Regions from separate parts of the Mus musculus genome. Here all the other regions are reported to be linked to region 1. The links are microRNA targets in miRTarBase. Many come from high-throughput screens and were not tested one by one. Region 1 holds a microRNA gene; each other region holds the end of a gene's coding sequence.

Region 1 (5,073 bases):
CCCAAGGCCACACAGAAAACCTGTACTACAACTCAGTCTAAGCCCAGGACAGTGTCCTTTTTCTTCTGCTTTAGGAGGACTGAGATACCAAGAAATAATGGGTATCCTGCAACTGAGGCAGGTGACTCTCCTTATATTGAAAAAAATCTGGATATTAAGACATGGTCCTGAGTACTTCTTTATCACCAAATATATTTTCTGATATGTGGCTTATTCTGGACATTTATAGATTTTTGGTAAAATCTTATACCTCTTTTACCAAGCTTATGCCTTTCAATTTGCGTCATGAAGACTGACTATGTAGTCATCTATGTCTTCATTCTTATGGGTCTGACTAACTTTAATCAACTAAACTTGCTTCTCTTATATGTATTCCTCTGAATAGGTGTGAACTGGAACATCAAGAATGAAAATGAAATAGTCCCTTACCCAGCTTAAGGACTGACTTCTCCATCAATCCTGGAAAACAGTATTTATAATAATCTATTAAGTCAGTGCACTAGAACTCTTTAGCCCCTTTCATGGCTCTTTTCCAGTGTTCTTGGGTTATGTGAGGTCGGATAGGGCAATTGAGAGGCTATGGATATCTCTAAAGTGTCTAGCTCTCCTTACAGCAGATGATAAGCAGAGATGCTGTCAAGAAAACCAAAACCAATAACCCATTACTCCTTTCTCTTTTAATCACTTTCCTTGGCTTTTACTAGCTCCAGAGTTGGAAATAAGGTCTCTTTAAGCTCCCTTCTAAAAAGCTCTAGAAGTCTCATCCAACATTTTTCAAGACCTTGAGATGTAAGATTTCTGTCTCTATTTCTAGAGAAGACAATTGATGCCCAAGAAAACTTTAAACCTGGGTAGGACAAAATTTGATACTATCAAGCATTTTGAATAACAGGATCATGATGCTAAACAAAATATCAAATAAATTGAGATGGCTTGGCTCTTCTGGCAGCTGCCCTGGTAGCTATGAGTTCAAACATCTTAATACTTCCCTGCAAAATCCACTGCCTGTTTTGCTCTTTGTTGCTGTTGCTCTCCCTTTTGCAAGGGAATATAAAAAGCAGACAAGAAAAAGTGGTGGGGTGGACAGCCAAGGGACACAATGAGCTGATGGATGATATAATTCCCAAACTGTAAACAACTTGTTTTATGACCTTTTGGAAGTCTTTCCCTAAACATCAGACTTCATTTTCTCATTTATAATCTTGAATGGGTAAAACTAGATGACTTATAAGGGCATTTTAATATCATTAATTCTTTACTGCTTATGAGAAAAGGCAACCAAGTTAGACAAAGCCGGCTAAGGCCACAAGAAATTACTGTTTCAATTCTGTTAAATAAATTATCTATCTTTTCCCCTGTTAGTATCTATCTTATATGTTTAATTTTAAAGCACATTTTAGTCACTTTTATTTATGTACAGGGGATCAAATACAGAGTATTGTACAAGTTAGGTAAGTGTTCTGCTACTGAGTTTTATCTCTAGATCTTGATTGTTTACTTTTTTGTTTGAGAAAGGGTAGTATTATATAGCCCAAATTGACTTTAAATCTGAGGTTCTCCTATCTCTGTCTATGAAAGCTTGTATGCACACATGTACTATCATACCTGGCTATAGCCACAATTTTTGAGTATTTGTTAGGTAACAAACACTAAATTAATGGCTTTATATGCATTATTACATATTCTTGCCATGATTTCATGGGCATTTTTGTGGCTATGGAAGAAGTAGGTTTCAGGGACATAAACTCATTTATTTAAGGTGTTCAGCTAGTTAATGGTAGAGGTAGAATTCAAATCCAGTTTTAAAAATCAACATCTAGGTACATAACCAGGGTAAACAGAGCATACAAGAAGTTGATAGGAGGAAGGAACACATAAATTGTCCCCGAGGACAGAATGATGACAATTTTTTCCTGTTTCAGCTGAATAGAAGAGTTAATTGAGGCTTGGGCCACCAGAATCTCCAGACAAACACCCAGGATCCCCGTTTTTGTTTGGAGCATTAGCGTGTTTTGTTCACTTCCCTCTTTTGGTGTGTCTTAGTCAGTCATGTTAGTGTCTGCCATTTGTCTCACACTTAGGGTAAGATATAATCACCCTATTTTTTTCTCTTTCCAGTTGCACATCTTCCAGCATGTTCTTGCTGCCCAGTGGAGGTTCCTGATCTGGCCATCTGCAGTGTCACGCTCCGTGTATTTGACAAGCTGAGTTGGACACTCTGTGTGGTAGAGTGTCAGTTTGTCAAATACCCCAAGTGTGGCTCATGCCTATCAGCTCCAGGTCCAGGACAGAGCACATAGCCTGCTGCCTACATATGAATGCTTATGAAACATGAAGCTCTCTGGTGTTATTCTATGTCTTTAAGGGAACTATAACATTTATTCAGAGAACATCAGAGTAGGAACGATGCAGCTCTGGGGTCTACAAGTCTGGTATGCATCTGTGTACATTGTGAAAATGCCATGGACTGCATAGTGGTACATGAGGGATACAGGGAATGAGAGTATTATTTGATTTATTATTAATGTCTTCTTTCACTTTCCTCTTCTTGCAGCCAGAATAGCAGAATTTTCATACAAGCATCATGAATTCTATGAGAAAGTAGGAAATAAATATCCACTGTCTGGCCTTCGGAGCACATCTTAAGCTACCTACATTTTCTCTTTTCCACTTTGCTTTTATCATTCTTAAAAGAACCTTCTTGTTTATCTTCATTGGGCTTTCAGACACTACCAAATTCCAATTCCTCTTGGCACTATTGAAAGTTAACCTATACTTTTCTTTACTCCTTGGCTAACCACATACTGGTATGTGCTATTATATGTCCTACCATCCAACACATCTTCTAAAGTTGTCAGTGAATTTTTCCAGGGTATGTTCTTGAATTCCCTATTATATTGTAAGAATCTAGAGCTTATTATATTCAGTTGATTGCTGTCTCTCATACCATTGTCCAACATTTTAATTATTAATAAATATTTACCAATTAATTGATGTTTTACTAGTCAATAACCTTTTGCTATATAGGTCAAATACCAACCAGGGTTTTGCGAAAAAAATAAATCAAACTGTGGGTATTCTAATGCTATAGTGTATACAAGATGGTAACCAAAATGGATTTTTTTTTCCTCTGAGAAATAAGATTTAGGTCTGGGGCAGGAGGGCAAGAAGAAAGAATAGACTCAGAGGGAAAAATTTTTTGAATTATTGGTTTACACGTGTCTTTTTAAACAGAATTTTCTGAGCCTTTAATATTCTATCATTGCACTGGGGTGAACTTCTAATATAGAACTATAAAATGAAGCATCTCCAATCCCTCTCTCCAGAGTCTAACATTTCATAACATATATTTTGGCAAGCTTCTTTAGAGAAATTCCATACTCTCCCTTGGTTCTGGAGAAATTCCATACTCTCCCTTGGTTCTGGAGATACCTACTTTCATTCTTTAACTTTTCACCCACTAACCAGTGACCTAAATAACAAGACCCATATTGTTACCCCAATTTTGCTCAGAATTGTCGGAGGGATGCATCTCTATCTAGGGATGACTTACTGGCTTACCCTGCATGGAAAAATACCATTGTTTAGGGACAAAGACCATCTTCAGAAGATGTCTGCAGCAAAGTACACACACTGCTAAAAATCCACAGGTCTAACCTCCAGTCTTTGTTCTGCCATTGACTTGATGTATGTTACTTTTGACAAACCTTCATTTCTCTCTGGGCTTCACTTCCCAATTTGTGGTATGTGAATGTTCAGATAAGTAATCTGTAAACATTTTCACATGCAAGAATAGGAGACATTCCTGGTGGTTCCAGTGTTGGGGGTTCCCTGAATTTGTGGCTCACTTTACTAGGGCAATTTCAATAAACATTCTCTCTTCAAGCCCAGGGATTAATTCTAAAGAGCAGAATGAGATAAAGGGTGTTTTCAAGGCTTTCAGGGCTGGACTCACAGATGTTTCATGAAGGAAGCTGAGGTTTCTACTGGGTGGTACCCAGGTTGTGGAGGCTGGTAAGTGAGATGGAGAAGAAGAAGTCATCTCTGACACTAATTATGCATAGCTAGCATTTGTCAAAGAAGAAAATGCTGAGATTTTGGTCATAGACTTGGCAGCATCAGTGGGGGTAAAATAGGGCAGACTGTCAATCACTTTTGTGTACTATTTTGACTTTTGCAGTCATTTCAAAGTGGGAGTACCTCTTGTTGAAACCTGATCTGATCCTGTGCATATGCAGACTACATAGGCAACATGGTAGTTCCCATGAAAATTTAGGAAGTTGATTCGACATGAAATAAATGGGGGGAAAGGAAGCAATGCAAACGTGGCCCCAAACAATTTCTTTACAAGGGAGTTTCATTCCAAAGTACATAGAGTTCCTTCTTTCCTTTCCCCTACCCTCCTGTTCCCTACACTTTTCTTCATTCCCCCCACCCCGTTCCATCAATTAAGAAATAATCTCTTACTCTTCCCATTTATATGCATAAAGCTTTAAAAAACATTGAAACCCATCTTACCACTTTCTCAAATAAACCAACCTATATTAATAAAATTTTAAAAAAGTCTCTTCACATTATAAAAAGAATTGAGGAGAAAAGATGACCAATGCAACTAGTCCAGATATTTTAGTGATATTATACACAGACTTTGAAAAGACAGAAACTACTTTATTTGTACATTCATAGTACGTTGATAAAGATGTGAGGCTTCTTGACAATCTTCCTGTTGCCCCGAGAAGAGTCACAAAGTAGAGAAGATAGAAAGATGGACTGGGTAGTGGATGTTATGTAGAATACTATTTAAGCAAAAATTGATTTGCTTTAGATAGGGCTATCCATATTATGAGAAGGGAGGTGGCATGAGTTGGAAGGTGAAAGACAAACCAAGAAACAAACAGACAACAAAAACCAAAGCTTGGATTAGAGTTACAGGCCTATCATTCCAATTACTTGGGAGACTAAGGCAGGTGGCAAGTTCAAAGCCTACCTAATTTAGAGAGTGAAATAAAGGCAAGCCTGGCTAGGTTAGTATGATATCATCAAGATAAGAAGTAAATAGTATAGCGAGATATA
Region 2 (5,073 bases), not on the chromosome of region 1:
TATGAGGCCAGTCTGTATTACAGAAAAGCGTGAGCCACGTACTAAGACCTTGTCCAAAAATAAGGAAATAAGACTTCAATTTATCTTACCATTTACAATAAATGAAGTATTGAAATATTTTCTCAAAATGTACTTGATTAATCTCTTTAATTACAAAATAGAAACATTAATTATTGAATGTTTCCATATTTTAAAAAAAATCACAGAATATGGGCCCTGAATATAGCTCAGTTGGTGTAATGCTCACCTAGCACACACAGAGCTCTGGGATGCACACCTACAATCAAGCTTTGTGATGCATGCCTATAATCCCATCACTTGAGAGGTGGAAGGAGAGATTCAGAAGTTCACGGTTATCCTTAGGTACATCGTTTGAAGCTAGCTTAGGCCATCTGAGACCCTGTCTCTATAAAGCAAGCAATAAGAAAAAAAAAAGTTATAGAATGTTTGTTATAATTTTGTTTTTATAGCTTTGCAAAAAACTTGGAGGCTCGTGTGTTACAGCTCTGGATGGTTACTATGTGGAATCCATTATCTGTGTTCTCATTGGATTTGGTTGGTGGTTCTTTCTTGGTCCAAAATTTAAAAAGTTACAGGATGAAGGACCATCCTCATGGAAGTGCAAAAGGAACAACTGATGCCAACATTACTGGACATTCTAGAAGGTAACTGTAGCTTAGTGTTACCAAGAAAGCAATGATAATCAGTGTGTAGGAGTGTAAAATACCGTTTTAGGAAATTTTTAATTTAAAATGCCAAATAGTTGAAAAGTACAGATGTATTTGTATGTTTGATTATATTTTCCTTTGCCTTATCAATGTATTGAAAGTTTACTTAAGGCTAGGAAACAACCCTTTTGGTTTTATTACTTGATTTCTGTTAATTTACTGACCAAAGCATATTTTAAGCTGCAGTGGAATAGTCATGGGTGGTCACCATGCTGCCAAGTATTGTTAGTGCCTGTCATTGAGTCGTATTTAACATGTTGGTACAATGTATCAAGTGGAGCAAAGCTTAATATGCAGGTACTCACTAACTAGATTAACCTTATTGGAAGTTAATTCTCACTTTGAATTGTAAATTTGTAAAAATGTATGTGAAATTTGATTGAAAGAAAATGTAGACTACTAAAACATTGAGTTGTTTTTCTGACTATAACCACATTGTACAAATGAATCTGTTAAAAATAACTATTTTAAATGTACTTTCTGCTTTTGTAAGCATGAAAGATTTATAAAAAGATTATCCAAACTATTTTTTTATAAAATGAGAGCTATGGTTTTTAATTTATTGATTTCCCTATCTCTCCCTCCCTTTGGGGGAAGCTATTTTGATTTCTTGTTAACTCTTGCCCTAGGTTTACATATGATTTTGTCACAAATACATCATGACACACAGACAACTAATGAGGGGATCAAGTTTGTGGTGTGTTTGTGATTATGACTGAGTTGTAAAAATAAAAATTTAATGTCATTCTTACTGTAGTTTTTTTTAATTACCATGAGAAGAAAATGTAAACTTATAATTAAATAAAATTTAAATGAGTAACACTATAAATCTCAAAGCTGTTTTTTTAAAAAGAGAGATTTGTGTGTGTGTTTGCCTTTAACAAATTAAATCACTCTGTGGGAGATTATTTCTTAATTTTTTTCCTTAATCTTAACTAAGCATTTTATTAGTAAAAAATTCTTATAATTACTTTATGCCAAATCACGAACAATATTCCTGTTTCTTAAAACACAGGCTTTCATCTGTAAAGAATAAGGCTCAGTTGAGACTTGCTAGACTGGGAGAATTAGAAGCAAGTACAACAGCAGTTTCCAGCATGCTATATCCTCTACATGCTATCAAGGCTTTGAGACAGGGCTTAACTGTACAGCTCTGACTTTCCTGGAACACTCTGTAAACCAGACTGGTCTCAAACTCACACTCACCTAACTTTGTGTGCTGAGATTAAAAGTGCACATCACTAATCCAGACATTTTTTTAATAAAATGTCTCTATGAATTTCATCAAAATGTATGGTGAATATATGGGCTATATACCATCTTGTCTCAAAAGGAAAACAAGGAGGTGAGCTGGGCACGGTGGTATGTTTTAGTCCCAGCACTCAGGAAGGAAAGGCAGGCTTTCGGCATAGTAGAACCTGTGCTGAAGGAGAGGCCTGGGAAGCTGGATGACTCAGGAAATGTGAGAAACTGGGCAGATTGTGTAAATCACTAGGGAGGTGAGGTGTTGCTTCTGCCATCACTGTGACACATTTCCTGGCAAGAGTCCAAGGGAGGAGAGAGTTTTTTGCTTTGCTGTTTTGAAAAAATATTAGTCCATCACAGTTGGGATACATGGCAGGATGTCTGAGCCTTGCTTTAGGAACCATAGTTCCTTGTTGAGAAGACAGAAGACAGGAAGGAGAAAGTTCATGATGGGTCAGTACCAGGAACAGGAAAACTCTCAGGTCTTAGTGACTCATTTTGACCAGCCACATTTTACCTCTTAAAGCTTCTGTGGCATGCAAAATAGCACCACAAGCAGGGGGCCAACACAAGAACAGCCTAAAAGAGATATTCCAGATTCACACTACAATAGGATTCATAACAAAGTACCAACACTGGGTAGCTTGAGAGAAATTTGTTTACTTTCATTCCAGAGGCTGAAAATCCAAGATTAATGTATTGGCAGAAGTTTCTCCTGAGGTCTTTAGTTGAGAGTAGTTGAGAGTCACTCTCCCAATGTGTCTCCACACAGCCTTCTTCCACTATATGCAGTAATCCTGGTTTTTCTTCCTCTTGGATTGGTTCTGAGTGGTCAAGGCTTATCCTTATTCTCCCTACCCCCTTAAACTTAGCTTCTTAAAAGCCCTATTTCTAAATGCAGTGATAATGACGGTTAGGACTTCAGTTTTTTTCAGATTTTGACAGGACACTCAACTCAGTCCCAAAGAGGATTTATTGTATATAAACATTTCAAAGGAAGATGGCACCTGGTGCCATGGAGGCATCTTGATTTTGCAAATCTGATGAAATAGAATTTTGTCTACTTTCTAGAAACAAATATTTTAAAGCCCAAAAGCCTCCCATAGTGCCAAGGACCAGCCTGTCTTGGAGAGTGGTTCTGAGAGAAGGGGTGTTTGAGAGAGGCAAAACAAATGACCTGAAGTCAAAATGTGGGTCCAAGCTGACAGCCTGTGTTCTGCTGGAGATAGTTTTCTGGATTGCCCTCTGTGTTCTGCTTGTGGTTTCTCTCTCTCTCTCTCTCTCTCTCTCTCTCTCTCTCTCTCTCTCTCTCTCTTTCTCTCTCTCTCTCTCTCTCTCTCTCTCTTTCTCTCTCTAAATGTGTGTGTGTGTGTGTGTGTGTGTGTGTATAAATATCCAGAAAGCTCTCTGCTCAGGCTTTTTTGAAATTCTAAAAACTCTCTTGTTAGCTCATCTCTTATAAATCAAAAGCCCAGTCTTTTATGTATTAATTCAATTATTATCCATGTTCTTTTTTTATTACCCCCTGAGTCAGTATTCTAGGTCCCCAGCCCCTTGATTCTTAGAGACAGCAAAGAAGAACAGACATAAGTTAGCTGAGTGGGACCCCTCCCGACCCTGCCCTGAAATTGCCATCAAACTATGCCTGGACCTAAATTAGCTCTATCCCAGACTGACCTTACACTTGTGACTTGCACAGTCCACCTGCCTTTGTTACCATAAAATAAATTAGCTAGGTGGGATGTGGCCCAGTGGATTGAACCACCAGACAGAACTGGTAAGGTAGTAGCAAAGTTTAGGACCATGACAAAATTTATAATTGAGAACAGTAGGAGATCAAACTAGCTCCCAACCAGATTTCCTGTCCTGGAGTACGAGGCCATGATACCCCATTAAGAAGACCATGACAACTGGTCAGGTAGCATAGAACTTAGGGTTCTTCATGCTAATGAGGTATCTAGAAGGGAGCCAAGTGTTTACCTACTGAACTCTCTTCCTGAATATTCCTTCCTGCAAAGAGCATTTAATCTCTGTTTCACCCCGAGTAAGTCTTATACATCTTCATCTGCCATGAATAAAGGTACTTTGGACAAGCAAATCCTGTTGTCTTTATCAGGAACTGCTAGGGGACTGGAGTGGGGTGGGGTGGGGTGGGGGGAAGAGATTCTCAACTCTTCATGTTTCTCAGTGGCTTCTGGGTGCTCAGGAACATGAGAACCTCCTCTATTCCAGCCCCCTGCTTGTTTTCACCTGGAAGATCATGGGCTGGGACCCCTATCTTAGACTACATTTTGCCTACCCTGAGCAGTGTGTCAGCAAGTGGTTCAACACCGCAGTGGCAAGGTGGAAATGCAGACCCACAGTGGAATATTGCCTTGCAATCACCATTCCCTAAATCTCTTTATCTCCCACACTTAGTATCCTTTTGACAAGTTGGCTCACAGTGCAGCTGCCTCTGTTCCTTTAGATCTGTGAAACTCCTTATTTAATTTATATTACATCCTTACATTTTGCATAGTTGAGAATGTATGTATTTTCAAACTCATGTTTTCAGCATTCTTTCCCACACCCTTAAAGGCTGCCCTAATGGTCACAGCATTCAACCATTTTGCTGAGATATAGACATGCCCTTGCCTCCTGGACCCATGCTGTCTCTGATTATCATGGAGTCATTAATATCGAAAGAGAGGACATTCCTCAAAGGAGAAATGTGAAAATATGTACACTGTTATACAAACAAGCCTTTAACCCACAGTAGCTATCCACACTTGAGGGGGCCCACACCCTGTTGGCTCTGTTCCAGGGCCAGGAACCATGTCATGCCATCACTTACACATGACCAAGCAGGACTTGGCACCCTAGGATAATCTGTTTTCAACTAAGAACGAAGATTTCTTTTCCTCTCTTTGGAAGAGGTTAGGGCTTCTATACAGCTGCCAAATATAACCCCAGATTCATATTTTGGGACTCTTTACCTATTATCCAAAGTCCAATATATGTAGGTTTTTATCACTCTGACAGATTGGTATGGCTCTTATTGATTACCTGCAGGTGAGAGTTGGCCGTGGTGAACCAATGAATCTGTCCCTGCTACAGAAAT
Region 3 (5,073 bases), not on the chromosome of region 1:
TTTTTTAAAGGCGAGAGATTTATTCAGTGTGACCGCAGTGGGAACGGGTGGGCAAACCTGGCTTGTTGGGATACAGACTGTAACCGCAAGTCAGTAAGAGCCTGCTTTACACTAGTCACTCCCAGAATATGGAACGAACTGATAGCTTGTTTTGTGGTCTTCTTTCATGTTTAGCCCTATGTGTGCCTGATGCCAGAGTTTTAAGGGGAGACTGCCGTCATGCTGTCTGCAGACTTAGGAATATTCAGACAAACAAATGTGCTAAGTTGTACTTTAACGTTTGTGTACATCCGAGGTTCACCTGGAGTGTGGCTGGGAAGGTCCAGGGATAATGGCGCTTATAATGCAGTTAAGCACTCTGCTGTGCTCCCTGCAGGTGCTGCGTGAAGGCCCTTACCCCGGCATTCCTGGTCTGTGTAGGATCCTCGCCTTTCTGTAGGAATTACCTCCAGGGGAAGAAGGTGCACAGGTAACATGGGAGCCAGACCCTGGGGTCTCTTCCCTCAACTTCCTCTGCTGGACTTTGTACACGGGAATCATCTGGCCTAGAGTGTAGCACTCTATCCTCAGGGACAGTGGTTCCCAGCCTCTTGTTGGGGAAGAAGCTGCAGGACCCCCTGAACCTAAGCCTGTCTGGCTGAGTGCTGGGCTCCAGCTGGGCCGCACTCTCCTCAGATTCACAGCCCTGCCCTGGCCAGTACATCTTTGGAGTCCATCTCTGAAAAAATCATCCACTGCAGTTACCAGAATAGCTGGCCTTGGTAACTCCCTAGCCCAGAGACTGTCGCAGGATGCAGTGACAGTCTTAACCTTTGTGGCATCGGGCACATACAGAAGGCACAACTCCAAGGCAATAAACCAGCCCTGCACATACTCTAAGGCCTTAAGGCTTGAAAGACTGGCTCAGTTGCTTCACCAGCCTGGAGGAAAGCTAAGATGCTGTGGATGCCATGAAGTGACTGCAGCCATGAAGCCACATCCTGTTCTGTTGACTGTATAAACTTGGATCCTGGGACTACTCAGAGCCCTACTGGATTCTCTACTTCTCAATGCCCATGCAAGGGCTTGTGCCACATCTGACAGAAGCTTGAGGAGTCAATGGGCAGTGGTTTGCAAGTAGGCTTGTGTTGTTTTCCCTTTATTGTGAGGTCTCATTTCTGAAATAGGAGTAGTCCTGGTGTCTGAGCAAAGCCCACAGCAGCTGGCCTAAAGCCATTGTTTGTTACATGAGTGGCAAATGTGTTTGTAGTAAACACTTGAGATTTGGGGGATTGTTCGTCAATATAGGAAAACTGACTAATACATTATTAAACTGAAACCAGCTGGTGGCCTTCAGATGGGCTAATATGAGATCTTGTGTTGTTTGTGTCCTTGTTTCTTGAAGAGAAATTGTTTGAAATATTTAGGGAGACAAGTGCAGCTTTCTTTACCAGAGCAGGTCCCTGTAAATCCACTAAACCCTACCCCCAACACACACACACACACACACACACACACACACACACACACACACGTTTTGGAAATACTGCAGACATTCTCTCCTCAGTCAGAGACTTTCCTCTGACTTCCTTTTTAAGAACTCAAAGTCTATGTGAGGGGCCTAAAAGTGTCTCTGTTCTGTGGGTGTGGTCTTAAGACCCTCATCCTAGCTGCGTGGAAGTCAGTCTTCCACTAGCAACCTTCAAATGAAGATGTAGAACTCTCAGCTCTGCGTGCACCATGCTTGCCTGGATGCTGCCATGTTCCTGCCTTGACGTTAATGGACTGAACCTGTAAGCCAGCCAATTAAATTTTGTCCTTATAGGAGTTGCCTTGGTCATGGTGTCTGTTCACAGCAGTAAAACCCTAACTAAGACAACACACTTCCTCCAACAAGGCCATCACCTCCTAATCCTTCCCAAACAGTTCTATCACCTGCAGACTAAACACTGAAATATCTGAGTCTGTGGTGACCATTCTCATTCAGACTACCTCAGGGAGAGCATGCACCAAGAGCTCCATTGGTAGGCTTGAGCCAGGTCTGCTGCTTAAAGCTCCTGTCAACTGTAAAATGATCATCTTTCCTTGACATTGCTTGTAGCCCGTGCATGTGAGGTCTCAGCCCAGGAGTGGTATGTCCTCAGTGAACAGCTCTCTTCAAAAGCACTGTTTCACAGTCTGGTAGATTCACAAGTGGGTGATTCTGCATGACATCATTCAGATGACATCATAACCTGGTGTGTGCTGCTGGCATTAGGAAGGTTGAGACCAGACCAGACATACCTTTTAATTTCCTATGATGCATGCCACAAAGAGAATGATGATCTAGCCCAAATTGCCAGTGATAGACATGGAGAGATGTTCACTAAACCAGAAAGAAAAAAACAATTTTTTGGAAACAAAGTTTCTGTACACTCTGAAGAGTGTGGTGGAAATCTGTGAAGAGCCTGCTTCCTGAGCAAGATGTGGGCCAGATTCTACCTGGTTCCCCTTTGGCCACCATACCCATAGACTGGGAAATAGAGCGGGAGACTCAAGCCTTCCCTGCCTGTTTTGTTTTTGTTTTCTTGTTATGTGGAGGGGGAGAGTTACGGGGATGGACGCCCTCCAGAGGAGGTGGAATGCAGGGAACGGTACATGTTCCCAAATCTGAGCCTTTCTCAGTTGTTCCTGGGACTCTTCCTGGCAGAGCCCTCAGGGCTTGCTGCCTTCCCAGAACCAGGGTGGAGGAAGGATGCCTGGTGTATGTCTGGTTGCCTCTGAGGATGTGGGTGACAACTAGAGATGAGAGGGACAAAGCCCCTAATCACCGTCAGCAGGCACACAAAGTAGGCCAAATGCTGCATTCTGATACTACCAACTTCACTGAGTTCTCTTACTTAATCCTTATAGTCACCCCAGATCTGGCCTGTGGCATCAGGATGGAGAAGAAGCAGTGTCAGAGCCCAGATCGGAACCACACGTCCCCTCCCCAGCACCCATAGACTGGGAAATAGAGCGGGAGACTCAAGCCTTCCCTGCATCCTTGTGTTTCCATGCCTTACAAGCATCTGTCCCGTGCCCACAGTGGACTTAGGGCTGAAGAACTACATGCAGCCTCTGACTTAGGGTCATACTGCTCAGTGGATGTAGTGAATCTGACCCTGGGCTGGCAACTGCTCCAAGGGGGAGAAACAGACACAACAAGCAAGCATGTTCTCATCCTTAGCCGGAGCCCTGAGGCCTCCACTCCCTCAGCACGCCTGGTGTGGCATGCAAGGCTCTCACCACCGGACATCTTGCTGCTTTCCTGCTGTCTCCAAAGCCTGTCTGTCCCGGTCATAGTTAGTTACATAGCAGGTGGTGTGGTAACCAGGAGTCTGCTCCTCTGAGCTAGGCTGCCTTCTAGTTCCAGTCCCACGCTCCCCATTGGTAGGCGTTGGGTACCGCTTGGCCTGACTTGTCTGTTCTTCTTCCTTATCTGCTACACGGGCAGGTACTCTGAGGATGGAACACGTTAACCTAGTGAAACCCATGGAACACAACTTATAGCACGGATTTGATCTGTGACTGTTGATCCCCCAGCCTTCCCACTCTCAGCCTCAGACATTGACACACTGTTCCTTTTTCCTCTCTAGTGCCCAGCCTGCTGCTGTCCTACTGCCTCCTCCAGGCAGGCCTCCCTGGCTGCTTAGGTCTTTACTCTGTGGCTGTGCACCATCACCATCACTGCCCTTAGCACATGGCACAGCACTAACTTACCGGCTGGGTCATCCGACTTTGTGGACTGCATCTAGGGCCCAAGCTGCACTTTTATATGTGTCAGGCCTGGCACTGCACCTGCTCAGCATCTCAATGAACCACAAGCAGTCATAGGCTTGGGAATTCAGGAAAAGGGTGACTCATTGTGACAGGTCAGAGGTTGAAGCCAGCACCTATGGGAGACTTGGGCTATAAAGGTGAAGGAGTGAGGTGGACAGTCCGAGCAAAGCCACAGACCCTGGAGGGAGGATGCTGCGACAGCAACTACTGCTGCCTGGAGAAAGCAGCCACCTACTGAGCACCCAGCCAGGCCAGCAGCATTCTAGGTGCTTGGTGCCAACTGGCTCCCCAAACCTCCCACACATCTAGGCAACAAGCAATGTATAAAGATGGCATGGAGAGTCTAAACAACCTGCCAATAAAAAGTGGAGCAGGACTTGAACTCAAGACTGAACTGACCCATTCAGAGACAGCAGGACTGCCAAGACTAGTCTGGCCTCTCGGGCACAGGGGCCTTTGCATCACTCAGTCTAAGCTTATGGTATAGTCCTGGTAGTTATTACTCCGTTCAGCAGCAGCATCCCAGCCTGCTTGGCTAGGGGAATGTGCTCTGCCCCAGCCAGAGCCTGCAACCTCTGTCAGCGGGGCTCCCACTGAGTTTTTCTCTTTCATTTTTTTCTTCCATTCTGTCTTCTCCGTTAGCAGTACAGACATATTACCTCACAGTCCTATGGCCACAAATGTAATTTGGCTCAGCTGTTATCTCTGCTCTAGGATTTACAAGGCTGAGGTACAGATGTTGGCCTTCTGGGCTCTTCCTAGGGGTTCTAAGAACCTGCTTCCAGGCTTGTTTAGGCATTGGGAGAATACAGTTCACCGAGGTTGAGAACTGAAGTCCCCTTGCCTTACTGGTCCTCAGTGGGGCTGTATTTAGCTCGGAGGTGGGGAGAGGCTCTTCTGGTTCCTGGGTCTCTGTAAGTAAGAGCCCAATGGCATATCATGTTCTAAGTCCTGAGATTCCCTTGCCACATCTGATTCCAGCCAGTGAAAATTCTCTGCTTTTAGTGTGTGATTAGACTGTAAACATCCAGATAATTCTTTTCTAAGGTATATAGTATTTGCTAAAAATATTTTAAAAATTTAAACGGGCACATAGTAATTGGGTATTCTTAGAGAATGTAGTGTGGCATTTCTGTATCTGTATTCACTGTGTAATGAGAGATCACACATACATCCTCTCTTTATAGCTTGCAAACCCTGAAGATCCCTTCCACGGGCCATTTTACAATAGTCAGTGAAGCGCTGTGAGCCAGAGTTGTCCTCCTGCCTTACAGAGCCTTAAAGTGCTTCCCC

The links. The annotated mature microRNA mmu-miR-223-3p reads UGUCAGUUUGUCAAAUACCCCA and lies in region 1 at 2,232-2,253, shown strand. An mRNA with a match to its seed (bases 2 to 7 or 8) in the 3' UTR can be bound and repressed. Matches are read on the target gene's strand: a 7mer-m8 pairs with bases 2 to 8, a 7mer-A1 pairs with bases 2 to 7 and ends in A, and an 8mer does both.
Region 2: the mRNA of Slc33a1 is a reported target of mmu-miR-223-3p. The part of its 3' UTR that is shown has no 7-base or 8-base seed match.
Region 3: miRTarBase lists Ttc4 as a target of mmu-miR-223-3p. Seed matches in the 3' UTR shown: 7mer-m8 at 1,291-1,297.

Annotation. Positions count from the first base shown.
Region 1 is chrX:96,240,653-96,245,725 of GRCm38, forward strand. It overlaps Mir223 (microRNA 223), which reads left to right and starts at 2,165; the gene lies at 2,165-2,274. F630028O10Rik (RIKEN cDNA F630028O10 gene) reads left to right here. Exons shown (of 3, transcript NR_030718.1): 3 at 386-2,990.
Region 2 is chr3:63,938,814-63,943,886 of GRCm38, reverse strand. It overlaps Slc33a1 (solute carrier family 33 (acetyl-CoA transporter), member 1), which reads left to right. Exons shown (of 6, transcript NM_015728.5): 6 at 471-1,564. The coding sequence ends at 638. Among named protein-coding and RNA genes, the nearest start is that of E130311K13Rik, 12 kb to the right of the region's middle.
Region 3 is chr4:106,658,535-106,663,607 of GRCm38, reverse strand. It overlaps Ttc4 (tetratricopeptide repeat domain 4), which reads left to right. Exons shown (of 10, transcript NM_028209.2): 10 at 377-1,800. The coding sequence ends at 473. Among named protein-coding and RNA genes, the nearest start is that of Pars2, 10 kb to the right of the region's middle.